4 linked regions of the Tamandua tetradactyla genome follow. The protein of the gene in region 1 interacts with the protein of each later gene in a pairwise test. Links are inferred from orthologs where the notes say so. Each region holds a gene or a part of one and is shown in the gene's direction. Other genes may lie near its edges. The genes, in order: FXR2, PRAM1, ZMAT2 and ARL6IP1.

What was found.
Region 2: the proteins of FXR2 (region 1) and PRAM1 interact in binary tests that used the Homo sapiens proteins (3 or more experiments, as listed by UniProt). The two-hybrid records come from large-scale screens. The link is inferred for Tamandua tetradactyla from reciprocal best matches to the Homo sapiens genes FXR2 and PRAM1.
Region 3: the proteins of FXR2 (region 1) and ZMAT2 interact in binary tests that used the Homo sapiens proteins (3 or more experiments, as listed by UniProt). The two-hybrid records come from large-scale screens. The link is inferred for Tamandua tetradactyla from reciprocal best matches to the Homo sapiens genes FXR2 and ZMAT2.
Region 4: the proteins of FXR2 (region 1) and ARL6IP1 interact in binary tests that used the Homo sapiens proteins (3 or more experiments, as listed by UniProt). The two-hybrid records come from large-scale screens. The link is inferred for Tamandua tetradactyla from reciprocal best matches to the Homo sapiens genes FXR2 and ARL6IP1.

The regions. Positions count from the first base shown.
Region 1 is NC_135332.1:61,463,636-61,471,301, reverse strand, and holds the start of FXR2 (RNA-binding protein FXR2), read left to right. Parts: upstream 1-4,655; 5' UTR 4,656-4,708; coding exon 4,709-4,789; intron 4,790-7,666. UniProt on the Homo sapiens protein: mRNA-binding protein that acts as a regulator of mRNAs translation and/or stability, and which is required for adult hippocampal neurogenesis. Specifically binds to AU-rich elements (AREs) in the 3'-UTR of target mRNAs.
Region 2 is NC_135337.1:84,926,829-84,933,802, reverse strand, and holds the start of PRAM1 (PML-RARA-regulated adapter molecule 1), read left to right. Parts: upstream 1-3,973; 5' UTR 3,974-4,155; coding exon 4,156-4,158; exon of another isoform or gene 4,159-5,785; coding exon 5,786-6,974. Other genes in the region: acidic leucine-rich nuclear phosphoprotein 32 family member B-like, read right to left, coding at 614-770, 2,066-2,107. UniProt on the Homo sapiens protein: May be involved in myeloid differentiation. May be involved in integrin signaling in neutrophils. Binds to PtdIns(4)P.
Region 3 is NC_135346.1:20,719,658-20,727,053, forward strand, and holds the start of ZMAT2 (zinc finger matrin-type protein 2), read left to right. Parts: upstream 1-4,384; 5' UTR 4,385-4,492; coding exon 4,493-4,510; intron 4,511-4,852; coding exon 4,853-4,946; intron 4,947-6,052; coding exon 6,053-6,176; intron 6,177-7,396. Other genes in the region: histidine--tRNA ligase, mitochondrial, read left to right, coding at 36-143, 391-489, 798-891, 1,242-1,369, 1,455-1,697, 1,862-1,978, 2,197-2,343, 2,769-2,828. UniProt on the Homo sapiens protein: Involved in pre-mRNA splicing as a component of the spliceosome.
Region 4 is NC_135349.1:40,185,321-40,193,137, reverse strand, and holds the start of ARL6IP1 (ADP-ribosylation factor-like protein 6-interacting protein 1), read left to right. Parts: upstream 1-4,815; 5' UTR 4,816-4,915; coding exon 4,916-4,951; intron 4,952-4,970; exon of another isoform or gene 4,971-5,091; intron 5,092-7,145; coding exon 7,146-7,279; intron 7,280-7,817. UniProt on the Homo sapiens protein: Positively regulates SLC1A1/EAAC1-mediated glutamate transport by increasing its affinity for glutamate in a PKC activity-dependent manner.

The DNA.
Region 1 (7,666 bases):
GTGAGATCTTGTTGGTTTGTACAGGTTAGTGAGATGCCCTGATATATCCCAGAGTAATCTGGGCAGAAGATTAAAAAGTATTTGCCAAGTCCCCTTGAGACATTAAACTTCCCCAACTGAGGAAGACCTGATATTTGTGCAGTCATTGGGGACTTTCAAGTTAATGGGCCAGGCCCTTGATCTTGGGGCCTCCCCGTATGAAACTTTTTCCTACAAAGGAGAAACTAAGCCCTACTTATTATTATGCCTAAGAGTCACCCCAGAGAACCTCTTGTTGCTCAGATGTGGCCTTTCTCTCTCTAAGCCAACTACGCAGGCAAATTCACTGTTCTCCCTCCTACATGGGACATGACTCCCCGGGTATAAATCTCCCTGGCAATGTGGGACATGACTCCAGGGGATGAGCCTGGCCCTTGGAATATGGGATTGGGAAACCTTGACCAAAAGGGGGAAGAGAAATGAAACAAAATAAAAGTTTCAGTAGCTGAGAGATTTCAAAGAGAGTTGAGAGATCATTTTGGAATTTATTCTTATGCAGTATATAGATATCTCTCATCAGTTTTTTGTGTGTGTATTGGAGTGGCTAAAAGGAAATACCTGAAACTACTGAACTGAACTCCAACAGCTTTGATTATTGAAGATAATTGTATAATATACAGCGTTTAAGGTCTGACCACATGCTTGTGAAAACCTAGTGACTGACATTCCCTTTATCCAATGTATGGACAGGTAAGAAAATTAAATAAATAAACAGACAAATCAAATAAAAATCAGCAATCACTTTCAGTTGCATTTTCTGTGTTGTGTGTTTCAAACTCAAAACAGCATGCAAATATTCCTACTTCTGGGCATTTCTGTTGTAAGCATTGGCTGTTGCCTTCTCACTGTTGAAGATAAGGAACCAGCCTCTTGCCAACTCCTCCATCATCCCAATCCACCTCCAGCGACATCCTTGGGATGAGGTTCTTTGCCATTGTCTTTAATCAAAAAACAACCAACCGCTTTACCAGGTGTTCCCTGTCTGTCAACTTTACAAAGGCAAACTTATCTGATCAGCTTCATCAGAGAGGACTCCTGCTTGGAGGCAAGCAATGGCTCCAAGTATTCTAGGATCTGGGGAGAAAGACGTCAGGGGGAAGAGGGGAGTAGCAACAATCAGTATGTAAACTTACATTTAATTCCCATTTTTATCCACCTTTCTATCTTCCTCCCACTATTTTTATTTATTTAGAAACCCCAAAGCAAGTGGGGCATCTGTTATACACACTTTGTACTCCAGCTAGTAATCTTACTGAAATACAAGTCTGCTGAAAATCCTGTAATGGCACCCACCGTTTTCAGTGGAAAGTCCAAACATCGAAATACGTTTCAAGTCCTCTAAGCTCTGCCTAAGCCAACCCTTCCAGCCATGTTTCCTCTCCAAGTCTGTTCCAGCCATGTTAGACTATTTTTAGCACCTCAAGTCTAGGCTTTCTATACATGCCGTTCCCCTGTCTGAAATGCTGTTCCCTTTTTTCCCACTCCCATCCTTTACGTGAATAAACAATGACCAGAGCAGATGAAGGAGAGGAAAAGTCAAACCTGAGAAGATTGTTGGTGCCTGTGGCTTGGAAGTTGGTGACAGTGCCTGTCTTGGTTTGCTGGATCTGCTGTAACAAAGCACCACAGACTAACTGGCTTAAACAACAGCCATTTATTTATCACAGTCCCTGAGGCTAGAAGTCTGAAATCAAGGTGTCAGCAAGGCCATGCTTCTTGGAGGTGAATCCATTCCATGCCTCTCTGTTGCCTTCTGGTGCCGGCAATCCATGGTGTTCCTTGGCTTGTGGAGACATTATTCAATCTCTGCCTCCTCCACATGGCCATTTCCCTGTCTATACATCTGTCTCTCTGCCTCCAAATTTCCTCTCCTTATAAGGAACCCAGGTCTCCAGTCATACTGACTTCAGTCTAACTAGTAACATCTTTAGACATCTTATTTACAAATAAGTTCAGAGTCACAGAACCAGAGGTTAGGACTTGAACATGTCGTTTTGGGAGACACAATTCAATTCCTAACAGTGCTATTTTGAAAAAAATTCAGTCCTTTCCTACGCTTAAGAGATCAAACCCATACTCTTCAGTCTAGCGTTCTTGGTAATCTGCCCTACTTAATTTCCTTAACTCTCTGCACTCATCAGAATCACTGCTGGTTGTCTTCTGACCATTTCTGTCATTCTAATTACTGCTGCTCCTTCTCAGTCACTCTTGGAGGCACCTTTTTTTTTTTTTTGACAGCTTTTTAAATACTGGTGTAGTTCAGAGTTCCATCAGGACCTTAGTTATTTCTAAACCTTTTATTTGGAGATTCAATTTACTCCTCGGACTTACTCCTCAGACTTAACTATGCTGATGATTTCCACAAGCACCTTTCTAACCCAGACTTCTCCCAGATCACTCACCTGTAAGACATTTGTTCCTTCACTCAGGAACTGTGAGCTGCTGGGTAGACAGTGATGGGGACAAACAGACATGGACCCTGGTCTCCAACATCACAGAGCTTATGGTGTGATAGTGGAAGAAAGACACTGAGTAAATTATTATTACATCCGTGATCAGGGCCACAAAGGAGTAAAAGATGCTTTGGCAGTGTAAGATGGGGGACTAATAAAATTAGCATACCAGAAGGGTAAGAAAATTATATTTAAACTGGGACCCAAAAGAGAAATTTGTTGAGACAAGGGAGTATCTCCACCTGAATGGCCCACAGGCCCTCATAAAGAAAGAATACAAAACCAAACTCACATCACCATTCACTCTGTAATCCAAGTTAGAAATCTAGGAATTGTCCTGTGTTCCTCCCACTACTTCATTGCCTCCTGACCTAACCCCACCCCACACTCTATTACCAATTCCTGTGATCCTACTTCAAATTAAATAGGCTCAAATTCAAGTTTTATCTATTTTGCCCATAACCGTAGTTCAGACAGGTCCTTAGCTTCTTTTTTCACAGGTCTCACTGTCTTCAGGACCACCCTTACTCTTCAATCTATCCTCTAAAATTGTAAGATGCAAATCTTATCACATCAAGGGGTAGCAACCACTTAAATTCTTTCACTGGCTCTCCATTATTGATAAAATAAAAGTTATTCTCCTTAACTTGTCTTACAAGTCCTTGACAGTCTAGCTTCCTGCAACTCCTTCCTTGGTGCTAAATGCTAGATGAAGTAGATATGGTTCCGCAAAGGACGTGTTCTTTCTGCTCTTTGCATCGGCTTTGCCTCTTTGTAGCACCTCTGTTTGTTCTTCCCTGGCCATTCTTAAGTCCTGCTAACCATTGTCACCTTGGGGTTCCCTCAATACCTAGTCCCTATCTCTATCACATCTTAATCGCACTCTGTGCATTTATTTATTTAAATAAACTCCTTGAGCTCAGGGACCACATCTTGTCTTTGGATCCCAAGCACTTAGCTCAGTGATTGGAACATAGTGGGGGGGAGGGGGCTAAATAAATGTTTGCTAAATAGTTACATGCGCACACATGATTCTAATTTCTGTACTGTTTTACTCGATTTCAACTACATTTCTTATCTGTCTTAGTTCAGGGATCCTAAGTTTCTCCCCTGCTACCCTCACTCGATGACAATTTCTCCTATTTTGAATTTCCTCAGCATTTAGATTTCTGAGTTTGTGCCAATCTAAATTGCATTTCGCCATCGCCTTGCAACTATTCTTTGACCTTTCATTACATACATGATCAGGATCATCTTGTAATATCCTCAAGGCAAGAACCGTAACTCAAATCTCCTAAACACAAAGTTAGAGGAGCTTGGAGAGACATTCAATACAAGTCTATGGGCGATAAATCTCGGCGCACGCGCGCGGGACACCTCTTTGCCTTTCGACACTACTTTTTTTTTTTTTTTTCCTTTGGAGCGTGCGCACCAAGAAAGACAAAGGTGGGGAAAGTGACCAAGCAGTCGTTCCGGCGCATGCCTATCCCTAACTTGTCCAAGCCTGGTATGGCTCCTAGTGGTGAAGTGGGTGTGGTATGACCAGGAGCCGCAGAAGTCCAATCCCACGGAGTGAGAGCGGTCCCTCCCTCCCTATGATTGGTCAGCGGTCAGTGTTGTGGGGCGGGGAAAGGAAGAGCTCGGCGGGGTGGAGTGATGGGGTGGCGAAGAAAGAGAGCTAATCTCGCTCTGCGCAAGCGCATGTAAACGACCAGGAGGGGGCGTGAGAGAGGGAAGGAGAGTGTGGAAGCCCCCATGCGCTGGCGAGCGCGAGCTGGGGCGCTAGCCTTGGCGCCTGCGCCGTGGCCCGCCGGGCTCTGCGCGCGGCGGGCGGGTGCCGGGTGCGCCTGCGCAGTAGACGGCGGCGGCAGGGGGAGGTGGAGGCCGTGGAGCGGCAGAGGCAGCAGCGGGTCCCGGGACCGAGGCAGCAGCGGGGGCGGCGGCGGGCGGAAGCTGAGGTGACGAAGGCAGCGGCGGCGGCGGCCGTTTCCCTCACGGTGGCGGAGACCAAGGCGGCGGCGGCGGACGGGGAGCGGCCCGGCCCCGGCCCCCTGCTCGTTGGCTGTGGCAGGGCCGCCGTGGGGCCGGCCCGGCTCCCGCCCCCCGCGGCTCCCCCTCCGGCTCCTCCTCCGGGGAGACGCCGGGGGCCCGGCCCGGCCCGGACTCAGACCGCTGCTGCAGCCGCCGCCGGGGGAGTCGGAGGCGGTGGCAGCGCCATGGGCGGCCTGGCTTCTGGGGGGGATGTGGAGTCGGGACTGCCAGTGGAGGTGCGCGGCTCCAACGGGGCCTTCTACAAGGTGAGGCGGCGCGCCGATCGGGTACACCGGCCCCTGGCCCTCTCCCAGAGCCGGAAAGAGTGGGGCGGGATGGAGCCTCTCCAGCGAAGTCCTGACCTCTAAGAGCATTAGACAAGCCTCACTCCCACCCTCAGCCTTCCTGGGGAGACCTCTGGGAGTTAACCCTCTTTCCTATTTTGGATCCCTCTGGTACACCTGCTTTTTGCTCGCGCCTCAGAGGAAATGAACGTCAGGGCATTATTGTGCCTAAATCTGTGCCCTCCGCCACCCCTTTCCCCTAGAAGAGACCCCCATTTAACCAGTTTCTTATTGACTTTTCCTGTTTCGTAGTGCAAAGATATACCTTAGACCTTAATCATATCATTCCCACAGTCCAAGCACATAGAGAATTCTCCCCCCCGTTAGCCGTCTTGTGGAAAGCCATTCGTTCATCTTCCTTAGAGAGACTTCTGCCCACTGACTCGGGGAAAATCATCCCACTTTCATCGTTCATTCCTGTTCGCAGTCCAAGGAGAAACGGTCAAAAGCCATTTAAACTATTTGGCGTCTTTGACCTTAGGAACTCTGGGTTATTTCAGGGTCAAGTTGCCTCCCAACCATAAAGTGGCATCTTTTTAGTAGTCTTTTGCCCCGCCTCTTTACCCCAAGGCCAGCTGGTCTACCATTCCACCTAGGGGATGGGCTTTTGTTGTCACTTTGACCTCGGATACATTTAGATCATTTATATGCTTTCTCCATTTTGAGGAATGTATAAGTTTCATATATCATAATATCTAAAAGGGGATCTCACGTGGACCTCTTCTGTTTATCTTCTTAAGGATTTTCACTTCTAGAAGACTTCTTGCCAACTCCCAATTTGGGAATCTGCTAGTAACCTTTTTTGGAAGGAGGAAGGGAGTATCTTTCAAAGACCCTTGCTTATTTCAGCCTTCTCCTCACCAAGGATTTGGTTCCTTAGAATTCCTTTTAGACCATCTATCCCTTATCTCCTCTGAATTCAATTTCTAGGACATCCCCCTCACCCCCCCCCCATTTAGATTAGGCCAGAGGAAGATCCTTCTTGCCTCCTAAGGATATTTCTTTGTCACTGTTGTTATTCTGAACCTCTTTGGGCCTTATTCCTGGAATTGTCACAGAGACTTTCCTGATTCCTGTCTCATTCTTCACTCTCATCCTGAGAAGCTGGGTAAAAGATTTTTTAACATCACTGGTGAGAAGAGCCTCATTTCCTTAACATCTCCTCAAGCCTTTTCTTCCACAGTAGACCCCTCCACCTTTATGCCCTTGGAAATAATTTCTTCCCTATGAAATCATAGCTTACTTTATCTGGAAAGGGTCATATATTTGCACTTGGAGTGGATGGTTTCTATCCCAAGTTCAGTTGATGAGTTCAGTGTATTCATTTTTTTTTTTACCCACTAACCATATCTACTTTAGTCTCCACACCAGATTTCTGTACCTGTCTCTGTCTGTTTGTCTTAACTTCCCTCTCAGTTCAAGCCTCTAACTTATTGTAATATTTTTATTCTATATACTTTTGTAATCATCAGGAACCATCTTATTGCATGTCTAGCTTGAAGGAAGTTCTTGATTGATCTCTTTTGTTATTTTTTCTACATACTTTTATAACTTGGAACTTCTTCTTGAAGTTTGCCCCCAGAACATTTATTTTCTCCGGGAAAAAAAGTCTTAATTCCTTTATAGTTCTGATAGAGTGTATTTGTTTCATATTCTTTCCCCTGAACTTACATTACCTTTACTGAAATACCCTTCTGCATAAGATGTTATCCCCATTTTCCAAGTATCTTGTCCTTCATCTGGGCCCCCCCTCAAATTCTGAGTTGCAAGAAGAGTGATTGTTAAATTGAGTCTGAGATCAAGATATGATGTTTACTTTTGTTCATGGAAGCATGGGAGCCAAGCACAGCTGGGAAAGATTGGTATCCTGTTCAAATTAACTGTATGAGATGGTTGGTAAGGGAGAGAGTTCTCTTTTCACATAGTAAGTGTCCAACACAGAGTCTTCCTATGAATCTTTCCCTTTTCTCCTGTGAGCTATGGCAATGACAGACCTTTGATTGAGGGACAGAATACTTTGGTTCAAAGAGTAGAGTTTGGAATTGAGTCGAAAGCCATGTAATGTGGATTTTGTGTTCTAGCCACTTTAACATTTTCTGTTCCATTACAGTTAAAAACAACAACAAATCCCTAAATTCAGGCTAATCTTTCCTCAGCTTTCATTGTCATATAGACACTTAGCCAGACTGACCTTGCTACTGATTTAATATTCATGACTCAGCAGACTTTGGTGTGGATCAGAGAGTATTTACACTGTTTTTAAAACTATAAATTTTGGAAGATCCCTTTCTCCTCTCTCAGAATGGGTCCTCTTCCAAGGTGGAAATGCAAATGTTAGATCTGAGATCTAAGTTTTCTTGTAGCTACCCCACCAACCCTTTCTTTTCTGTCAGAACTTAATGTATTTTATTCTTTAAGTTGTACTCTCCTAAATGAGAGAATGTACCCTTCTGGGCACATTCATTAAACTTTTCAGACCCTGCCTGGATATATATATTTATCATCCCATTCTTAGTATATAATCAGTAACTCACAATATTATCACATAGTTGTACATTCATCACCATGATCATTTCTTAGAACATCTGCATCAGTTCAGAAAAAGAAATAAAAAGAAAACAGAAAAAAACGTCATACATACCATACCCCTTACCCCTCCCTCTCATTGATTGCTAGTGTTTCCATCTACCCAATATATTTTAGCCTTTATTTCCCCTAATTTTTTTTAATTTTTAAAAAACATAACAACATACAAACATGAACATTCTTACCATGTAATCATTCCATTCTTGATATATA
Region 2 (6,974 bases), on another chromosome or scaffold:
GAACCCAGCTGGCCATGGCTCCTGAGCATGGAAGTCCTGTGTACCTGCTGGATGGTGGTTTTACCTCTGCCTCTATCTTGTTCCCATCCATCCCCTTCTCACCAGCCCCCATGGCCCCCCAGCCTGGGCCTGAACTCCCCCTCTTCAGGTACCCACAGCTACCCCTCATGCCCTTCTCCAGCCTGAGAGCCCCTGGAAACACAGGGGTCTCTTCTGTAAAGGATAAATCCAGTTGCACCCCTCCCCTGTCTTGTACCATCCATTGGCTCCCCGTGGCCCTCCAAATGAAGACACGGATCTAGTAGACCACAAGGCCCCTGGTTGAGTCTCCTCACCCACCCACTCCCAGGACCACACTAACCATCTCCTTCTATGTCCTCTTCATCTCATCCTCCTAAGGAGCAGAGACACCCCTGAGCAAGGACCTGAGCACCTCCCCAGCCTCTCCCCACCTCATCCAATCCCTTTCCTTTCCCCTGACCTCATTTTCTGAGGCCTCCTGAGTTGTCTATTCTTGTCTTCAGCTTCTGTGTCTATAGCTAACAAGACACCTGTCATCCCTGGGCTGGATCCGCAGCCCCACCCTTCCAAACTCTTCTTGTCTGCCCCTTACCGTACTGCCTGTCCTCTGCTAATGTGTCAGCCTCAGCCTCAGAGTTGGGCACCTCACAGTCCCCAGCATCGAAGCCAACCAGGTAGACGAGCAGGGGCAGCAGCTGCAGCATTACCTCGCGGTTGAACAGGTCCAGGCTCCACAGGCCCCTCCATTTCTGTGAGGAGCAGGACAGGGGATCCAGGTGCCCTTAGGACATGGCCTACCTGGTCATGGGGGCTGCCTGCCATCCCGCTCCACTCTGAAGGCCTCACCCAGGCCTTCAGGGCTGTGATAGCTGCCTCTGAGATTCAGGTGTGTCAGGCCAGGTGTCCATTCTGCCCACACCACCAGGTCCCTTCTAAAGCAGTTGTCACTCAACCCCAGCTTTGGGGCTGAATGGGCCATAAGACCTTCTGATTCTGAGCTCCTGCCTTCTCAGCCAGAGGCTTTGGAGCCATGACTGTGCTACCTTGAGGAAGATCAACCCTCCCTAGTCCTGAAAACTTGGTCCTTGTAAGGGTTAAAAAAGGGGGGTGGTGTCTGGGAGAGACGGAGAGGGGTTGGGATATGTCTGCTGAGTTAGTTAGCCACATCCCTCACTCACCCAACCAACCCATCCTGCCTGGGATCCTCCCAAGAACTGGGAGAGGAAGGGAAACAGGCTCAAGGGCCCATTTGACCAATGGGGTGAGGCCAGAAGGGGAAATTAACTAAGTAAGCCCTGACCAGCCAGGTCCACTTCCATGTCAGGCAAAACTCACCCACTGGGCACCACCCCAGAAGCTGGGCACATGTAGCCCTGCTGACTCTCAGGCAGAAAGGCCTGTGGGGCTCCTTCCCCTCTCCCGGACTCCCACGGGCCTGGGATTTTTGTTCCCCCGGTTCTAGCCCCAGGTTCTTCGTCATCTCCAGGGGATGGGCTCTGTGTTTCTTGTGCACCAGGCCTCCAACCCTGATCCCTGCATCAGGCCCCTCTTTCAGGCACCCAAAAATCCGGGTAATGCTACTTCCCAAATAACCTGTCTGTGCCTTTCCAGGGAGACCCAGAGTCAACACCTTGGTCCAGGACCCTCCCCTGCACCTGTGTACACAGAGCTGCCCTTCCCTCGGGACTATGAGTTCCCAGCTCCCCACTGCCCTTGGAGCCAGCTGGAACTCTGCCTTGGGAGCTGGGTCATGACCTGGACTCCAGCAACCACCCCATCCACTCCAAAAACTACATCCAACCTTCACCCCATCCTCACTCACTCCTGCCTTTGTATGCTTCTATGGGAAGCCTTCCTTTCCTGACCCCAGCACTCCCTTCTGGGCTCCTGCAGCCCTTGCCCTTCCTCTGGCCAAGCCATGACCCTATGGAGAGACACATCCCACCACCAACTCCAGGATGTCCCAAAGGCTGAGTCCAGGAAGGGGCGCCCTGGAGAACATGAATGAGAGGCGAGTGCAGTCCCGATCCCTGCATACACCAACCTGCTCCATGCATGGGAAGGCTGGCCAGAGAAGCAGGTTCATGTTGATTCGTGTGCCTCACTGAGCAGGTGTCCAGGACCAGCTCCGTCACCTGTGGGTGGTGGCTCGGTTACCTTCACCCCGGGCTGGAAGGGAGAAGGTGGAAGCTACTGGGCACACATCCCCAGACCCCGCTCCTGAACTTGGTCCGACCTCCACCCACCCCCACTAGCCTCAAGCCCAGCAGGTGCTGGGGCTCCTGCGCGGGGATCTGTCATGCCGGCTTCAGCTCTTATGCACAGTGGACCTTCTCACACCGAGGGCTCAGATCCCAGGCACCCCAATACCCAGACCCCTCCCCAGCCCGCAGAGTTCCGAACCCATGCCCCACACAACCTCCACTTCCCAAGGCAGAGCTCAGCCTGCGCTCACTTTTCTGGACTTCCGGGAACACAGCTCCAAATGGAGCCGCTTGTTCTTGCGGGAACTGCTGTCCACACAAAGAGGAGGTGAGGGGGAGCCTGCGCAGCCACCCCCACCTGCTGGGGCCCCTGCAGGCAACACAGGGACTTGCCCCAGGGAGTCCTGTCTGGAAGCAGGGAGTGGGCCTTGAGGGACGCCATCCCTATGAGTTTGGAGCTGGAAATGCCCAGGAGTGGCTGGGCTGGGAGCCTGGGAAGTCGCCAGCTATCATTCTGTCCCCCAGCTTACCTTCACTGAGCACCTAATGTATGCTCTCAACTACTAATTGCTTGTTCTTTCATTCATTCCCTCTCTCACCAAACACTATATGCTGTCCTCTTATGATCAGCCTGTGCTAGCTGGTGCGACAGATCCCAAGAGGGCCCAGACTTCGTCTTCCCTGCCTTCATGGGTCACCCCATGCAGTGCAGAGGCTCCAGAATCCCGAAGCTGTGCTTTTAAAGCAGATTTCCAAGCAAAAAGGCACATTTGTTTTCCCTTCTGCAGAGCAAGCAGTTGAAGGGCTCCTGCTCAGAATGCAAGTTCCTCAAGACAACCAACCCACCTTCCCTGCCTCCATGTTTAAATAAGCTCAAGAAAGCCCTTGCTGGGAGGCACCCCACCCCCACCCCAGCACTCTTGGGCCCGGGAGTCAGAGTTGTGCTGGGCTGTTTGGATGCAGTGTTCACAATCACATGCTGAAATGCCCTTAGCATCCACGACTCCTCAACTGCTGCCCAAGCCGAAAAGAAAAGGCTTTGTAAAGAGGCTTGTGCTTGGAATACCGTATCTCTGATTAAAAAGGCAACGACTTCAAAATACAAGGAGACAAAAAAGAAAGCCAGCCTCCATTCTCTAATAGTACTGGTCTTAATCACTGCCATCACTTCTTTGCTGACCTCCCACTCTGTCTCAGTTTTCCTCCCAATCTTCTTGTCTTTTGGAGTGATGGGGTGTCCTCAGAAACCCCTCCCCAGGGTCAGGAATTTGACACCACCCACCCACCACCGAGTCTGCCAGCCCTCTGTCCCGCGTGCCAGCCCTGCCCCGCTGCGGCTGGCTCATCTGCTGAGGGGCCTCACAGGCAGTTCCTATAACAGGGAAGTCCAGCTCAGATCTGGGAATTGGCCCACGGGGAAGTGTTGAAATGAGGCAGGCAGATGAAGCAAGAAGGGCAAACAGATGGGGCCTCCCCATCAGACCCCCCCCCCCCCCTTGGATCTCCCAGCCTCCCCAGCGGCCTCCCAAGCCCCAGCTCTGACCAGGTCCTTTCGGAGGTCCCCCTTGGGGGGCAGGAAGCCATCACGTCTGGCATCCAGTTCTCCCTGCCATCCCCAAATCCAGGACAAGCAGGGTATGGGGAGGGGGATAGCAGACAGTCAAGAAACTTGCGACTCAGTTGAGGCCCGAAGCTCAGGGTCAGTAGCAAGTGGGACGGGAGCTCAAGGGGGTTAGAAGCAACCAGCAGTATCTGGCAACTGGCTAGGGCAGTCCCCACCCCCTTTCCTTCCTCCTCTGCCCGCCCCACTCCACCGGCAGCCCCCACCCTGTGTGCTGGCCGGTGAAGCAGAAGCCACAGTTAACTTCCTGAAGACAGCAGACTCAGCTTGGGTCCCACTCACCCCATCGCCCATCACCTACTTGCAGCCATGGTGAGTGAGTCCCCAAGTTCCCAATCCCTAGGAGATCTCTGCACCTGCCAGAGGTAAGGGGTGGAGCACATGGAAATTGGATTGTCCAAGACAGGACAGGCAAAAGAGAACTGGGAACGAAGTTCAGCAAACAGGGATGCCTCATGAAAAGGCCCAGAGGCACGGAGCAGTGGAGACACCCGCCCCGCCCCCTCCCCCAGGACAGCTCGGGTTCCAAAGGGCCTATGGTCCAGATGGGACAGTCTGAAGCCACTCCCCTGCCCCCAGGCCAACATGAACTGATAGCAGGCAGATAAGCTTCCTCTGTGGAGTCAAAGTGGGTCAGGCTCCCACCACCCCCACCTGCCCTTCCCCAGGGTCATGACCCACTGACCGTGACTTATCTGACTGTATGGTCACCTCAGAGTCCTTGCCTTGACCCACCCAGTAGGGAAGTAGCCTTAAAAGGCAGTCTTTCCAAGGGGTGACCCTAATCCATCCTCTGGATGGGGAAAAATGCACAGAGGAGCAAAGGCCTGGTGGGTCCTTCCGGCACATTTCTGTCCTCTTCCCCCTAACTCGCTGACCCCAGGCGAAGCCACGTGTGGGAGAACTTGTAGGTCAGAGAGGACCTGGCCTACTTGTGCATCTGCCTGTCTCTTGGCATCCATGATCAAGCTCACGGGGCTGGTTGCGAGGGTGCCTGGGACATACATACTCAGTGTACCACAGTTGATGCCTATGTGTCAGTCTGTCTACCAGTATGTGTGCGCATGTGCATGTGCGTGTAAAAGAAACAGTGTGTGGAGTGCTGAGAAGAGGGAATTGATTTAAAGTAGGGTAACTGAGGATGGCACATCTAATAAGGACATTTGGAGCAGAGAGATGAAGGAGGAAGAGGAGAGAAGCACAAGGTGGGGAAGTTATGTCCCAGGAGAGAGGAAGGTCAAGTGCAGAGACCCTGAGATGGGATGGGGAAGTGCTCAAATGTTCAAAGACCAACAAGGAGGCAGGAGGGGGAACTGAGATTGGGGTTGGGAGAGACCTTTATGAAATCTGGGCTTTTACTGCGGGGAGATGAGGACCCCTTGCAGGATTCTGAGCAGAGGCACGAACCAACTAGGGGCTTCCTCTGGCTGCTGTGGGGGGGACTGAGCAGGGATGGTGAGAGGGAGGGTGGGAGCCAGGGGCTAGGAGACCGGGAAGGATGCTGTTAGGATGATCCTGGGATGATGGCAGTGGCCGAGGTGAGAAGCGGTTGGATTCCAAATAAAGTTAGAAGGGGTTGGGGATTTAGGGTGCAGAAGAATGAGGCAGTCAGGGGAGCTCAGAGGTTATCCGACAAAAGGAAGGACTGAGGGAGCAGCAGTGTTGGGAGGCATATGGGTAGCTCAGCACCGATGGAGAGGTTGGGATGTATTGGACACCAGAGTGGGGAGGGTAGGGGAAACTGGGGGGATGTAGTTTACAGGAGCCTGGAGATGAAACTGTGGGAAACCTCAGCCAAAAGCGATGAGGCCAAGGTCAGGGAAGAGGAGCAAGTCTAAGGGTGGATGTGTGTGTGCACACGCATGTATATTCCCACATCTGCCTCTCAGTGACCCTCGATGTACAGGAGTCCCAGCCTGACTAGCTCCCTGTCCTGCAGGAGAGCCATCAGGGCTTCCGGAGCCTCCAAGCAAAGTTCCAGGCCTCTCAGCCCGAGTCCAGTGAACCCCCCAGGAAATCTCTAAAGCCCGAGTTCAACAAACTCCCAAAGAAGTTTCCACAGCCTGAGTCAAGCGAGCACCCCAGGAAACTCTCACCACCTGAGTTTGGTGCAGTCCCCAAGAAACCCTTGCAGCCCGAGTTTGGTGCCTTCCCCAGGAAGCCCCTGCAATCTGAGTTCACTGATCTTCCCAGGAAGCCCTCCAAACCCGACTCCCGTGAACTCTCCAAGAAGTTCCCACAGTTTGAGGCCAGTCCATTTCCCAAGAAACCCCCACAGCCCGAGTTTAGTGAGGTTCCTCAGAAGCCCCCAGAGCCCAGCACGTTTCCCCAGAAGCCCCCACAGCCGGAGTCCAGCACATTTCCCCATAAGCCCCCACAGCCGGAGCCCAGCACATTTCCCCATAAGCCCCCACAGCCGGAGCCCAGCACATTTCTCCAGAAGCCCCCACAGCCGGAGCCCAGCATACTTCCCCAGAAGCCCCCACAGCCGGAGCCCAGCACACTTCCCCAGAAGCCCCCACAGCCGGAGCCCAGCACATTTCCCCAGAAGCCCCCACAGCCGGAGCCCAGCACATTTCCCCAGAAGCCCCCACAGCCGGAGCCCAGCACATTTCCCCAGAAGCCCCCACAGCCGGAGCCCAGCACATTTCCCCAGAAGCCCCCACAGCCGGAGCCCAGCACATTTCCCCAGAAGCCCCCACAGCTGGAGCTCAACGACTCCACCAGACCACCCACAGAACCTAAGTTCAGTCCATTCCCCAGGAAGTTCCGGCTGCCTGAGGCCAGCGAAGCCACTCCAAAGCCCTCACTGCCTGACTTTAGTACTTTTCCCAAGAAGCCCCCACAGCCTGAGATCAATGAGCCTCCCAGAAAGCCCCCTAAGAAGTCCCTGACACAGCCCAACTCCTGTGAGGTCCCCTCAATGCCCTCGAAGCCCGAGTCCACTGAGCTCCACCCCCCATCCTCAAAACCCGGGTTCAGTGCATTTCCCAAAAAGGTCCTACAGCCTCACCAGAGTGACTTCCCCAAGAGGCTCCTGCAGCCCGAGTTCGGTGACCTTACCAGGACATCCTCAGAGCCTGAGTTCAGTGTATTTCCCAAGAGGTCCCAACAGCTTGAGTTCAAAC
Region 3 (7,396 bases), on another chromosome or scaffold:
TTTTTTTTTTAACCTTTTCATTTTCTTTGCTGTAGGATTTTGACATTGCTGGTCAATTTGACCCTATGATCCCTGATGCAGAGTGTTTGAAAATCATGTGTGAAATCCTAAATGGGTTGCAGCTGGGGGAGTTTCTCATTAAGGTGAGGCCAACACTGAACACTGAGGGGGAGAAGTCTGGATCTGGTCTGCTAGTCTCAAAACATTGATGACCCCAGCCTTTTATCAGGCAGCTCTAGGACTTTCTTAGTATAGCTGTTGCATTTCTTATATACTTTTCCTGTGAGGTTTCCTTTCTGTCCTTTTTATGAGTCAGAAAAATAGGGACTGCCATTGTTTTGAGGGAAAGGGCATTGATGGGCACTTGGGTTACTTTCATTGAGTTCACAGGTCAATCACCGACGGATTGTGGATGGGATGTTTGCTGTCTGTGGTGTTCCTGAAAGCAAGTTCCGGGCCATCTGCTCCTCAATGGACAAACTAGACAAGGTAGCAAATAAGATATGCTTCAGAAGACACCATTTGGGTCTCTGCCCTGTCCCCAAATCTATATTGCTAGAGAAAAAGAAGGAGATAGGGACTGGATGTGAGCTATTTCTGGGAGGGCGGTCAGAAGACATCCTGAAGCATGACTTGAGTTCTGTGCAGTGGGCACTGTGACTAGATTTTCTAAATTGCCTCTGAGTTTGCTGAAAGTAGCATGTTACTCATACATACAGACTAAATGAAAGTGAGATGTCTTTTTCCAGTTAGAGTAAGCAAGATCTTACTGAGCAACTATTTGGGTGTTTATGCAGATATCTTGGAAAGCGGTGAGACATGAGATGGTGGCAAAAAAGGGCCTGGCTTCTGAGGTGGCTGATCAAATTGGGGACTATATCCAACGACATGGTAAGAACTAGAGTTTTAGAGCTGTGTGGTAGAACCAGGGTGAGGGTGATGTGTATAACTTAGTCCTCTGAAATTGCTCCTTTTTGGAGATGGTCCTAAGCTCCAGAACCTCATCTAAATTTAATTCCCCTTTTACTTTTTGTAAGCACTTTGTGTCTTCAGATGGCAAAGGTAGAGGCAGAAGAGGAGAGTCTGGTCATATGAGATTAGGAATCCTTTTTTTTTTTTTTTTTTTTTTTTTTATGAAAATGAGGAGGACTGACTGGAGCACATTAGAGATGGCTTGGATGAATGCTGTGTCTGAATGCTGGGTAAAAGACACAGGTTTATTTCTATCTACTTTTCCCTAGGTGGGGAGTCTCTTGTAGAACAGCTGTTCCAGGATCCCAGACTATCCCAAAACAAACAGGTGCTAGAAGGCCTGAGGGACCTGAAGCTGCTTTTTGAATACCTGACTCTATTTGGAATCGCTGAGAAGGTAAACTGAAGGGAGTGGTTCCCCCTGCTGAGCTCTAGCACACTTAGCATTCTGTCTGGGACTGACTGTAACCTCATCTCCACAGATCTCCTTTGACCTAAGCCTGGTTCGGGGCCTAGACTACTACACAGGAGTGATATATGAAGCAGTACTGCTACAGACCCCAGCTCAGGCTGGGGAAGAGTCTATGACCATGGGCAGTGTGGCTGCTGGTGGTCGCTATGACGGGCTGGTGGGCCTGTTCGACTCCAAGGGCCACAAGGTGCCATGTGTAGGGCTCAGTATTGGGGTAGAGCGGATCTTTGCCATTGTGGAGCAGAGAATGAAGGTAGGCCTTAGGTAGGGGCTGGGGTTGGAGGCCGAGAAACCCTCATGTTACTGAAGGTTTAGTGGGGCTGTTTTTCTGATGATTCTTTTCATCTTTTGGAGTTATTGGTTTGAAGGAATTTTTTTGTTGCTGTTTAGTTTTACAATCTTCTCTCTCTTTATCAGGCATTTGGTGAGACGGTACGGACCACAGAGACCCAAGTATTTGTGGCCACACCACAGAAGAACTTTCTTCAAGAACGACTGAAGTTAATTGCAGAGCTATGGGATGCTGGGATCAAGGTATGGTAGAGCAACATTTGGGTATGTGTGGAATTTGGGTTCCAGGCCTATTTCTACCTTAATGCCTAGGGTGGAACTGAAGGCCATTTTAGTCTTCACTAGAATGGCTTCTGAGGGTAGGAAGGCCAGCCACTTATTTGTTGCTTCCTTGGAAATACTTGCTTCTAGGGGTTGTGTGCTGTGTTCACTTGTAAAACCCCTGTCTTGACCCTTTTCAGGCTGAACTTCTATACAAGAACAACCCTAAACTGCTAACCCAGCTGCACTACTGTGAGACCATGAGCATTCCACTCGTGGTCATTATTGGTGAGCAAGAACTGAAGGAGGGAGTCATCAAGCTCCGCTCAGTCGCCAGCAGGGAGGAGGTGAGTGGAGGAAGACAGAAATAGAAGGGATCAAGTGTTACTACTTTAACAGATTCTTTAAGAAATAAAGGTCTTCTGGCTGAAGAAATATCTCCAAAGTTAGTAGGGGTGGAGATGAAGGAAGACCCCACTCCAAGCAACTACTGCAGCCAATGAGTATTAGCTGGGTGGGCAGAAGAAGGACAAATGAAATCTGAATGGGTGTTTTGAGACTAATAACAAAATAGACATATATCCATTGATTGAATTTGAATCTCTTTAATCTTGAGGGAATATTCTCTAGGTCAGCCTGAAATCCACATTATTCCCCATTGGTTTCCTAAGTAGTAAGAGCAGATGCACAGTAAAATGAATCTGGAAAAGCAGTGGCTAAGGAATGGGTGTCACTTTCTAGTTTGTCACATGAGGGTTCTCTTATATTTCAGGTGGCCATTAAACGGGAAGATCTTGTGACTGAAATTCAGAAGCGACTATCTGAGTCTTGATCTTTTCTTAACTGCCATCTGCTGCTCTTTGTAGAAAAGGTTCATCTACCAATGAGTTCCTGAAAGACTTCACAACTGCCAGCCAAGACGAGTGACAAGTTCCTTCTGCCTTTTCAGTTCTTCCTGGGTACAGAACTGTAGAAGGCCCCGAGGACTCCTGGGTCCTGTGGCTTCAAGCCACTAGTGTGAGCAGCTATTCTGCATGAATGCAACTGGCTGGTATGTGAGAGATATGTTCTAGCTGCAAGGTAGATGGCAGATTTAAAGTGCCACTCAGTTCCACCAAGAGGTGCTGAGATGGTTGCTGTAAGAAAGGTATGAGAGAGACACCACAGGCTGAGAGAATTCTGAGCCATCGAAATCTTACCCTTCCACTGTAGCCTCTGAACCAGAGTCTGGGGAATTTGTTTATAACTAGCCAATGGCCTGGCCCATGGAGTTTTTGGGAGACAGCAAGGAGGGGCAATGGCTGCTTTCTCATTTGAGATCAGAGATGCTATCCCAAGGGCATGGTCATGCCCAGGTTGATCTGGCATCTCTTTAGCCCTTCTGCTATTAACAGTAGAAATATGGGCTATCTGTTCAATGAGTTCAATGTTGAACTTAATAGGTGACTTGGCAAGATTGAGGTCTCATCTTTTGCCATTTTTATTTACTGTGCCACAATCACTACTCTGACTATTCCATGCCCTCATGGAGGTGGATATTCTAGAGGTGGTTGGATGATATGTTAAATAAAATATTTAATGTAGTAGTTTGGGTGATTTGTTATAAAAGAATTGGTTTGCATAGGCCATAGAAAACACTTGAGTATACATTGGAGAATTCTAATTGTGAGCTGGGTGGGAGTAACTTCCCTGGGGTGATACTTATGTGTTCACTGAAGAGAGGAGCCACATTCCCCACCTGCACCTCACATCCACCTCACATCCCCATCATAACTTGGAGATTTTTATCGCTAAAAATCAATCTAGTGAGCCATCTGCCAGAGTGCTTCATACTAGAAACGTGGCTGTTAACTGGCCTTCGTAAGCCCAGTCATATTAATTACATCGTGCCCTACTGATTGGATAACAATAATGTTCTCCAGGTGAAAGAAAAATGAGTCAACCAAAGGGTGAGATAGCATTGCTTCAGGAAAAGGGCCAAAGTGCCAAAAAGCATTTTCCATGCATGTGTGTTGAAAAGGCTACAGCTCTTGCAAACGCTTCAGTGTAGCTTAGAATTATATCCCTAGTGCATGCAGTGAATGGAGCTTCTAGAGCCCCTGTAACAGCGCTTCAGCCTTAAAGGTTTAGAAACTCTTGGCCATACACTCAAAGTAGATTAGGGTAGGTCAGAGGGCACTGTTTCCGAACCTAAGTTTCCTCACTTGTGAAGCAGACGAGGTAAACTAAATCTATCAGCCCATCAATCCTTGTTTTTAAAGCAAGGGATCAAACAGGTTAGAAAGCGCCCTTACTTCCGTGTTACTTCACATTCCACTTGCGCTTGCGCTATCCTCTTGAAGCAAAGGCGGAGCCAACTACCCTGTTTAGAAGCCCTCCCCGTCCTTAGTTCGTTTAGAACAGGATTCTCTAAGCTTATTGGAGGGTCATCTCGCTTTACGGTTCAGGGACGCTTTTTACGGCATTTTCCGGCTTCCCGTTCACTTCGCGGCGAAGATGGCGTCGGGCAGCGGGGTAGGTGTTGTATGAGAAGGATTATGGGGGGGTTGGGGGCTACTTCTCATAGCGGAATAGAGGTAGACTCCTGCACGGGACTGGCTGCCAGATACCTTCTTGCAACCTCAGGATCCGGGTGCGAGAACTCCCCGTAAGACCTGGGCACAGGGTCGGTGGAATCGCGGAGGTCTCTGGGTTCAGGGTCCTGGGACCATCCCAGCCTCTTGATGGGATTCAGAGAGGCTTTCGGTATTGGAGGGTCCTGGGAACGTCTTGGCGCCTAGGACGCGATTCCCTCATTTTCTCTAGGGGTCCGGGCATGGTTAGCGACGGACTGTAAGTGCTTTTCTCCCCTTACAGACAAAAAACTTGGACTTTCGCCGAAAGTGGGACAAAGATGAATACGAGAAGCTCGCAGAGAAGAGGCTCACGGAAGAGAGAGAAAAGAAGGATGGTAGGTGCCTGCTCTGTCAAGGGCTAAGGATAAATAATTAGAGGGATTCCGGTGGGGAGTTGAAATACGCTGCCCTACACTGTGTAATCTTTTGCAGAGCATACGCTGCCCTGCACTTCGAGTAACCTTTTGTGGTCCTCGGTTTCTTCGTGTGCGAGGAGGTGGACCGAGGTGGTTTTGAAGTTCTTTTCACCACTCCTGCCCTCCCGTTGCTTGATTCATTCAGTGCTTCCCTGATGTACAGAGAAGAAATTGGAATTCTTAATAGTGATAGAGAAGTGGAGTGGAGTATTTGCGTTTTGCTGCCGTGCATTACTGGTGTCTACCCCGTCTTTCCTTTGAGATTACTTCAGGGGAAGGAGAACATTCCTGGCCCAATCAAGACCCCCCCCATATGATCTGAGAAAAGCAGTACTCATCAGGGAACCGTGTGATAGTTTCAGCTAGTGGTTAGTGCTTTTTCTCTGTACCTTGTACAACCTCAAGGAGTTACTGTTCCTCTCCTAGAGAATCCCACTTTATGGAAAGAAATGTCTTACTTTTTTCATCTGTTTTCAAACTTGTATGTCCTTCTTCCACCTTTCTTCCACACCACTTTGCACACCCTAATCCTTTTGTTTTTTATATTAAGTTGTGTAGCAGTACTTGGTACGTAGCAGATGCCTCCAAATTGTTAATTCCTTCCCTCTTTATTAAATTTGACCCACCTCTCAGAAGGTTCCTTTCTGTGCTACACATAGAGTATCTGCCCGACAATATTACTGTGTGTCTTTGCTTTTTTTTCTTAAAACGTTGCTTCATGTACAAATTCAGAGCTCATCCCCTCAATTCAGCTAATCAATGGATAGGAAAAAAAAATTGCTTTTAAACTTGCTAGCTTTAAAGTAGAGAAAAGCTATAGAGAATTGGGGATTGCTTTTCATTTATTCCTGTGTTTAGAGTCTCCCTAGCTTCTGCTTCAAGTGACCTTTGTGTCCCTTGCTTCAGGAATCAAAAAACAAACATACATGAGAATGGACTCTGAATTTTGCATCTCATGTATTTTTTTCCCTTTCTGATGGAGGAACTGTAATACTGAGGGGACTCCTTTTCCCATTATGTTTCAGGAAAACCAGTGCAGCCAGTCAAGCGGGAGCTTCTGCGGCACAGGGACTACAAGGTGGATCTGGAATCCAAGCTTGGGAAGACAATTGTCATTACCAAGACCACCCCGCAATCTGAGATGGGAGGGTGAGTGGCTTTTCATCTTTCTCTGCCACCAAGAGTGAGACTAACAAATAGTCTATGTTGGTTTTAGGAAGTGCTGAGTATAACAATAGTATCTGTAATTTTGGTCTTCTATTTGCTTTTCTTTTAGTTCCCCAAAGTCTCAATTCAAGTTAGCATAATAGTGTTTCCAGGAGGGATCACTCCACAGATTTTTGCATATTAGCACTGTAATTCCTTAATACTTTAAAGGGGATTATTTATTCTCCTGCCAGAGATAAAGATGAAGGAAAGGACTACTGAAAAAATTTTTCTAGGGAAAAATTAGGTAGAACTAGAACGGAGCCTAGGTGCTGTTGGTGCTGAAGAAAGGGGTTTGAGATTTCAGACAGGCTGTAAAGGCTGTAGTTGTTCTGGATTGCCTTGCAGACCAAGACTGTAACCTTTAGAAGAAGGGCCCCACAAGAGCTTTTCACCCCTTTGCCCACCACTGCTGCTCTATGCAGTTTGTTAGGTTTTCTAGCAGGAGGAAAACACAGATGGCAATGAATGACAGCTCTCTGAGCTGCTTAGTAAACTTGCTGTTGTTATTGCTCTCTTTATTAGTTATCTATTGCTATGTAACAAATTGCCCCAAAACTTAGTAGTTAAAAATCACAAATAGCTCACAATTTTGGTAGCAAAAGGAATCTGAGAGTGGTTTTGTCCTAGCTTCTTCTGGCTCAGGGTCTCTTACAAAATTGCATTCAAGGTGTTGGCGAGGGCTCTAGTCATCTGAGGCTTGAGTAGTGCTGGAGAATCTGCTTCTTAGCTCTCATATGGCTGTTGAACAGAGGCCTCAGTTCTTTGCCCCATGGGCCTCTGCTTAGGACTGCCCACAACAAGACAACTGGCTTCCTTAGAGCAAGTGATCTGGGAGGGAAAGGTGGATAGACAGGCAAACTAAGACAGAAACCAGTGTTTCATAACCTACCCTTAGGTATGATACACTGTTACTTTTGCCATATTCTTTTTTTCATGCAGATCAGTGCTGGTACAGTGTAGGAGGAGACTAGGCAAGCATATAAATACCAGGAGGTGGGGCTTGTTGTGGGGGTCATCTTAGGGGTTGGCTACCATACTCTTCCTAGTGCTAAGGCTTTATGGAAATGAAAAATGCCTTCTTCTGAAATGATTGGGAATATTGTATCTAAAAATATGAGTTTCTTGGTTGAAAACCATACGATTCTTATAACCAGATTTGA
Region 4 (7,817 bases), on another chromosome or scaffold:
TTTTGGATACCCATGTGTCTAACAGCAAGTTAAGGAACCTTTCTCATCAAATTTTATTTTGTTAATTTTGAAATATATTTTCACAAAACAACCTAGCTGGAATAAAAATGCCATATTGTATTTTGCACATTGCTTTCTTTCCCGAGGCTGTGGGAGCTATTGCATTCATCACTTGATTACCTCTGCTCTCTGGATATGAAACATTCTTTTTAGCAACATTCTTTTTGTCACAAGGAAAACTTTTTATCACAATGATAAAACCAGTTCACACTAGTTTGTCCCTATAAGTAGTATTTAGAAATGCTTCCTCTTTTGGTAAAGAAGATAAATGAAATAGGTGAATTTTCTTGCCTATGAGTAAATGGTCCCTCAGAGAATTGTGGCATATGTAGTACATTTGGGGCAGGTATGAGGAATTAATGACTTCAAAGCTTATTCTTTGTTCAGCACTCTGAACAAAGCCCCTTTGTACAGTTTGGTTTCTTCTGGAATGTCATTCTGCAAGGGGCAAAGGGCCTTGCTGTTCTGGACAGTTGTAAGAGAACTCGTTAGAAATTTAATCAAAAGTAGAAGGCCCTGGTGATAGAGCAGATTGAGAAGACAGCTATATTTAGGGATTATCGTAAAATAATGTAAAGTTAGAGTGCTGTAGTTATGAAGTCATAACTTTTTGAAGACACACAAAATACCTGTGGAAAACCAGGGATCCTCTTCTCTCTCTCTCTCAGATTCAGGGGGTACAGAATAACCGTCAAACAACCTCTTTTCTATTGAAAGTACCCTTGGAAATTGAAATTTATCTTTAGTGTTTTGTTGTCTTTGATTTGCTAGAATTGCCTAATTTTAAATGATTTCTCTACAGAGCTGTGGAGGCTTAATAGCTAATGGAGCTGTCTATATTTCTGTTTTACTCTTTTCTTTGGTATGTCTTATGTGTCTCACCATTTCTGGTCATGAGATTAAGATTCTTTTCTGTCTGATACTTGTGAGTCGTTTTTGAAATATGTGAGACTTCTTGTATGAGAACTGATAATCAGGCTCTTGATCCCTAAATTGCTTTTTTAGGGCCCAAACCCCAGGTTCAGTGTTAGGGTTTGTAATACAAAGAATAACTTCCATCTGCCCTTAACACTTGTCTCTATTACCTAAGCTTAGTTGATAGTTTTAATATTGTCCAGTGTTTGGTGTTTATCTGCATTGTTTTTAGTTTTGTTTTTTTGTGGTTGTTCCCATGTGTAAAATTTAAGGAAAGAGCCATTAAAAAATGTTGAGCAGGGCAATGCAAGTACAGCCAAATATTAGAGTTGATGTGCAATCTTAGATCCTTTTTAATCTGGGGTATTATAGGCAGTACTTTAAATCGTAAAGTCTTCCTGGCCTATTTTTCTCCACATTTTTGTAATTACTCTGGGGGCTTACTTGTTTGGGCAGTACTAAAATCAACGGAGCTGGTTCCTTTTCCTTTCTTCCTTTTCGTATTAAAGCACAGATAATTAGCCTGTTAGTCCTATTCATATACATCAAAGATCAGTGAATGTTTTTACTGTTATCCCATTTAAGTATCTTTACATAAAATTTAGATTAAGTATGAAGACCAATGTCTTGCAATTCTATACCTTGTTGGACTTGTAAAATGCTAGGAATTTGGAACTAAGACTTTTTACTCCTTAAATCAAGGGGATAGAATATATTAATGTTAGGGTCACTTAAAGAAGGTAAATTTTGTTTTCAATATTTGGTTTGTATTAGAAAGGGTCTTCCTATGGGGAAAAGCTAGTTAACATCACGAAGTTTTCCAAATGTTCAGAAGCGGGGAATACACTGTATTATGAAACTCTGAGGGTTTGTTGCAATTTTTCTGCTTTTTTTAGGCCTGGGTAAAATATCACCAGCCCTTACTGACAAAAGGACAAATTGACTCCAACTGAGAGAACATTCATATGTTCAAGGGTTAGTTGTACAACATGAACCATTTAGGATCTCTTACTTTCCATGAGGATAGACTGGAATTACTATTCTTGTGCTAATGTAAAAACACCATATAATTAGACTTTTGAAGATGGTAAACTTAAGGAATTGCATGTTCTGAAATGCAAACTTGTAGGATGTTTTTCTTTCAAAACAGGCTGATTAAATATATTTTTTTTCTTTTTCCTGACAAGTCAAGTTTCAGCTCCTGTTTAAAATTCTTGCGTCAGTTACTGTTCTGGTTTAAACTTCCCTTATATTTCCACCTTTGTGTGATGTCAGTGGCACACCATCATATTTCACTTGTTAATTTACTTTTTATCCTTACTCTAAAAGCAAATTGAGTTGGACTGAATCTTCCTTGTCCAGTAAAATTGTATAAATAAAAGTGGCTTCTCTGTACAAAAGGTTGTAATGCCTCCTGATGGATATAATTTTGTGATTGTATTTTAAGATTAAAAGTTGAATTTAAATTACACCAGCTTCCTGAAAATGCTCGTAATGCATCTTTTGGAAAACAAAAATACATGCCTACTTTGTGCATATTTGCATTAACCTGGCAAAGATTGTATGAAATACCTGTTTTTCAAAAAAAAAAATAAAGGTTCAGTCTCAAAAGATGTAGCTTTTTATTTAAGATCTGAATTTATTGGTGAAAGATTACAGAAAATGGTTGTGAAGCATGGCTAGCCTTTTATTTATTTTTTTGCCATGACTATCCCTAGTTAATTAAGTTTAATTCTCAAAGCAATTTTTTACCCTCAGCTCTATAGTAGTGTTGAACAGAGGTGGAAATTTCACTTCAGTGGGAAAGTTCTTAAATTTAAGGCCAAAAAAATTTTAAGGCCGAATTTTATTAAGCATATGTTTAGCAATACTTTACAACAGAACTTTAGCAGATCATTATTGGCATAAAAGAAGAAAGGTATAATCACTGGGGTGTAAAACCAATAAAGATAAAATGTCCAGCTTGTCTTTTTAGGTTTGCATTTGTTGCTTATGTTAGGAGGATTCATGGTAACTGCTCAGTCATCTCACACATTTCAAAAGATCACATCCTGTCTTTGTAGTACACAAAGCTCAAAAACTGTATTTTTATAGGGTAGGTGTTTTCAGTTAGGCCAGTTGGAAATATAGTGAAAGACTATATAGCAGTGCTCCTAGGCTATAAATTTGAAATGGGATCTGAGAACACATTCTTTGAATAACAAAAATACTCCTTGGGAGAACTGTACTCCTGAGTCTCTTCTGTTTTTTTTTAAACGTACCTCAGTTTCACCAGCTGTTTAAAGTCTTCCTTCTTAAGCTGTACACAAGTAACTTCAGTGAAAACCAGAATCATTCTGTAGCAAAAACTGATTTCCTAACGTAGAAATGTCAGTTTTTAAAGCCTAATGAGAATGCCATGCCCTCTCCTTTGGAAGAGGATATTAATAGGAGTACAGAAAGATTGTGCACTCAGTGCTGAACATATTCACTTATGTGGAATCTCTGCTGGTTCTTTGGATCCTATAATCCTTTATTTCTTTGAAGAGGTGGAGGAGGATCTGCGCCTTAAATTCCACAGCTTAAAAAACAAACCAGAATGGGGTCTCTATATCAACTGCCTGCATCCCTTACCTACACACCTATTTCCATCCCCCCCCCCAACATTCTTCAAAGTTGCACCTTACTGGAGAGTCCCCTTTTGCAAAGGCTTTTTTCTCAAGTGTTTTTACTTATCCAAATGCTTTAGAACTCTTAAGAACAGGGTAGTTGTTTGATGTTTTTAAAGCAAATTTAAATTTGATGGTATAAAATAGAGGACTATAATGTAAAAAGCTGGAAGTTAAAAAACTATGGATAACTTACCTGAAACACATCTGGCCAGGTCAATATTTGGCATGATTTTTTTATTATTATTATTGAATAATGAAAATCAAAGCATAAATGCATTTTGAAATCCTGGGTAGAAAATACTTAAAACTGTCTCAACATAGTTCATCTAGTTTAACTGCTTACGAAAGGGTTTACATCATTCCTTATCATGATCACCTAAGTAAGGAAGGTCCTGCCAACACAGGAGTAGTAGTCCTAAGGAGTAAGTGAAATGCCCTACAAACTTTCCCCAAAGACCCGATGTAAAGGAGCCAACTTTTTAAGTCAAGGCATTTTTCACACGTTCTCTGAAAAAAAATGCCAAGGTCTTCCCTTCCTCCCGAGCGAAAGACTTATTCCTGATCCGGTAGGAGAGAGAAATTGCAGCAAAATCCAAACAGTGCTTTTCACATGTCTTCAAAACCTCATGAGGTGGGCACGAGTCTCAGAGTCACAAATCTGGGCTAAAATGCTAGCAAAGGCGGCCCGGGCAGGGATTAGAAGGAAGGCACAAAGGAGGGGCACAAAGGAGGGCAAGGGGCACTGGCCTGGTCGGGGAGGACGGTCCCAGCCGGCTTCCCTAACCACAATGAAGTTAAACGCCACATCCTTCGTCCGCCCTCCGCCTGACACTATGCAGCCTACTGAACCCTAAATTTTCCAGAGAGCCTCCTTAGCCACTTTGAAGCCTAACGGAAGAGGTCCCAGGAGCTGACCGGGCGGCCAAGGTACCGAGGATGGTAGACTCTGCCCGGGCGGCGGCCGTTCAACCGCTCGCGAAACCCCGGGACCGGAGGCGCACCCCCCCTGGGCGCTGATTGGTCATTCCGTGTTCCCAGCTCGGCTCGGCCTCTGTCTCTTTTAGCCTCTATTTCAAGCCATGCGCTGGGCAACGGTTGGTCCGGCTACCCTTAAGTTTGAGCTCAATCCGCCCAATGAGGAACGAGCTTCGCGGGGGCTGTCGGGAAAGGCGGCAGGCCTATATAAACGACCTGCGCCGCGTACCCTAGCGTTGGGGTAGCCGTGAAGGCGTCGTGCTAAGCGTAGGCTGTAGGCAGACTAGCGTTCGCTCACGCGGCAATCGCGGACGATGGCGGAGGGAGATAATCGCAGCACCAACCTGCTGGTGAGTTCCGGCGACCTCCGATCGTCGTTCGGCCCTAGGGGGTGGCCATTGCGGAATCGTTTCTGTCACCGGCGGCGGTTCCGGCCCTCCTCTCGGGGTTCCCAGGCGCAGCCGACGACGCCTCCCTTTGGGCTTCTTGGGTAGTTATTGGGTGACGGAGGTCGATCCCTTACATCCTCGGGGGAAAGTGCGCGGTGGGGCGAGGAGGGCGCGTGATTAGTCACCGCGAATGGAGGATAGGGAGGAAATGGGAGAAGGGGGCGGGTGCGTGAGAAAAAGCTGGGGTGCAGCCCGGGGCGAAGGGCCTCGAGGGGCCTGATGAATGCTTTGCAGCCTAAGGCCTCAGCCATATCTGGGTTTCCCCTTCTTTGATCTTCATCCGGATTGTTTATTCATCCTTTCTCACCTGTGGTCCGGGCGGGGATGCAGTCAAAGGGCTGCTGCCGAAATTTCTGTTAAAGCTGGCAAAACTTCAAACGGCCGGGAGGCTGCGAGGTCCAGCGAACTAGGAAGGACCATGGAGGGCCTAACGTTTGCCTGGAATTTGAAAGTCTGGGATTCGCAGGGTGACAGCGGACAACTTTAGAATAAGCAGGAATTTGAGGGTACTGCAGTAGGGTCATATCATAGAAGTATATTTAAGTGCACGATCTAGGCGAAAATAGGAGAGAAATCCTTGCATCCCTCCTCCCCGTCAGCCCTCATCCTCGTCTCCAGGAAAGGGCTGGCCACACCCCAGCCTCAATGCAAAGAGGAACCAAATAATTTAATTTGGGGTTTTGAATTCCGCAGGGCCCAGGTGCTAACGAATTAAGTAACTTTACAGGATATTTTGATTAATGCATGTTTTTCACCCCCACACAGCTTGTCTATGGCTAGTCCCTAGCTGGCTTCTTTTAAAGGTGACACAAAGAAGCTTTTCACACAACTCTCCTTAAGTTGTACTACTCTGCTAGTAGAGATCCTGGTTTAGAGCTCCTGGCTTCGTGTAACTCCCACCCCCACCCCCACCCCCACCCCCAACTAGCAAAGCATTATAACTTTTCAGGAGAGCCTTTGGTCCTGGATTTCCTGGGTTGGTTCATATCTGTAAACCTCTGTATATTCAATTTCCTCATCTGTAAAATGGAGATAGTGGGAACACCCTTTAAGAATTGTTGGGAAGATTAAATACTTAGCACTGTTCTGGCACATAATATTTATTTAACCTAGTATTAAGCATGGGGTATAAAGTTAAAAGTATTGAGGTTCCTACTTCTTCAGTGAGGCACAGAGAACATCGTTATTAAGAATAAATAACATGAGCCTCTGACATTTGCTTATTTTCCAGTGATGACATTGTAAACGGACACATAGATTTCCTGTTCCATCTTTTTCTTTTTGCCATCCTAGAGGTGTCTTTTCAGCTGATTGTCAGATTTTCAGAGAAATTGGAAGCCTACCCAATTGTCCTGATAAGTGAATACGAAACACTGTCTTGAAGAAATAGATTGAGCTTAAATGCCACAAATTTTGTGAGAGTAGTTTTACCTGATTGTGAAATGACACCAACATCTAAGTGACTCCATTACACAAAGAGCTATTTAAAAATTGAATGCTGTTCAGGGAGGCTTTGCTAATGGATTTAGAAGTAAGTTTTAAATCAATGAAATGACAAAAACAAAGATCAGGTCTAACCAAGTGAAAGGAACAAACTTAACGTGATCTAATCAAATGAAAACCCTTGGTGTGCCACTTGGTAGTGCTTGACTTTGGTCTTAGCCATTCTGAGCTCACTTTCTTTAATTGTAAAATAGGTATAATTATCCCTGCCTCCAAAGGCTCTGTGGGGATTATGTTATGTCGTACATGTGAAGTTTTAGCCCAGTGCTTGGACTTGTTCTGTGGCCTTAAATGATCATTTCTTCTCCCATTGATTTGCTTCTGTGATACTAAGATTGTGAAGATTTTCGAAAACTAACCTATTGAGATAGTGACTTGGTAAAAACAGTTATTTTAGTAGTTCAGTGGCAGAATGGTTGCCTTCCATGCAGGAGATCTGGGTTCAATTCCCGAACCATGCACCACCACCCCCCCAAAAAAACAAAAAACACAGGTATTTTATACATTTGGTACCTAAGAGGAATTGAACTTTAGGAACCCCAGAAATGCTGAGAGTGGCAAAATGATCTCTTTCAATGTTGACCATATGTAGGCTGCAGAGACTGCAAGCCTGGAAGAGCAGCTGCAAGGATGGGGAGAAGTGATGCTGATGGCTGATAAAGTCCTCCGATGGGAAAGAGCCTGGTTTCCACCTGCCATCATGGGCGCAGTTTCTTTGGTGTTTCTGTAAGTGGGCTATTAAATTACTCTGCTTAGTGGTTGTTATTAATAAGGGCTCAGGTAATATGTGGCCTCCATTTATGGAAGTCCCTTAAATCTTTTGTAATGTATAATCTGTAAAGAATACCTTTTCTTTGAGCAGTTTTTCGAGTTTTCAACATTTGTAATGCTTATGTAAACTTGGTAACTTCACATAGTTGAATAAAGTAGTGTTTCCTCTCAAACTGTTTGGCCTTAAAACCCTTTACACTCTTAAAAATTATTGAAGACCCCACAGAGCTTTTGTGTTTACAGTATTAGAAATTAAGACAAATTTTAAAACATTAACAAGACAGATTTTAAAATACAAGCACGTACTCCATTAGCTGTGCCTGTGATGATTTCATGTCATGAAGCCTCTTAATTAGCATGAGAAAGATAAATAATATCTTCGCGAACCAGTGGTCTAAATGAATAGTTGAAAATCTTCAGCTACATACTTCTTAAAAAAAAAGAATGGAAAGTAACAGGTGTTGGCAAGGTTGTGGAAAAATTGGAATACTTG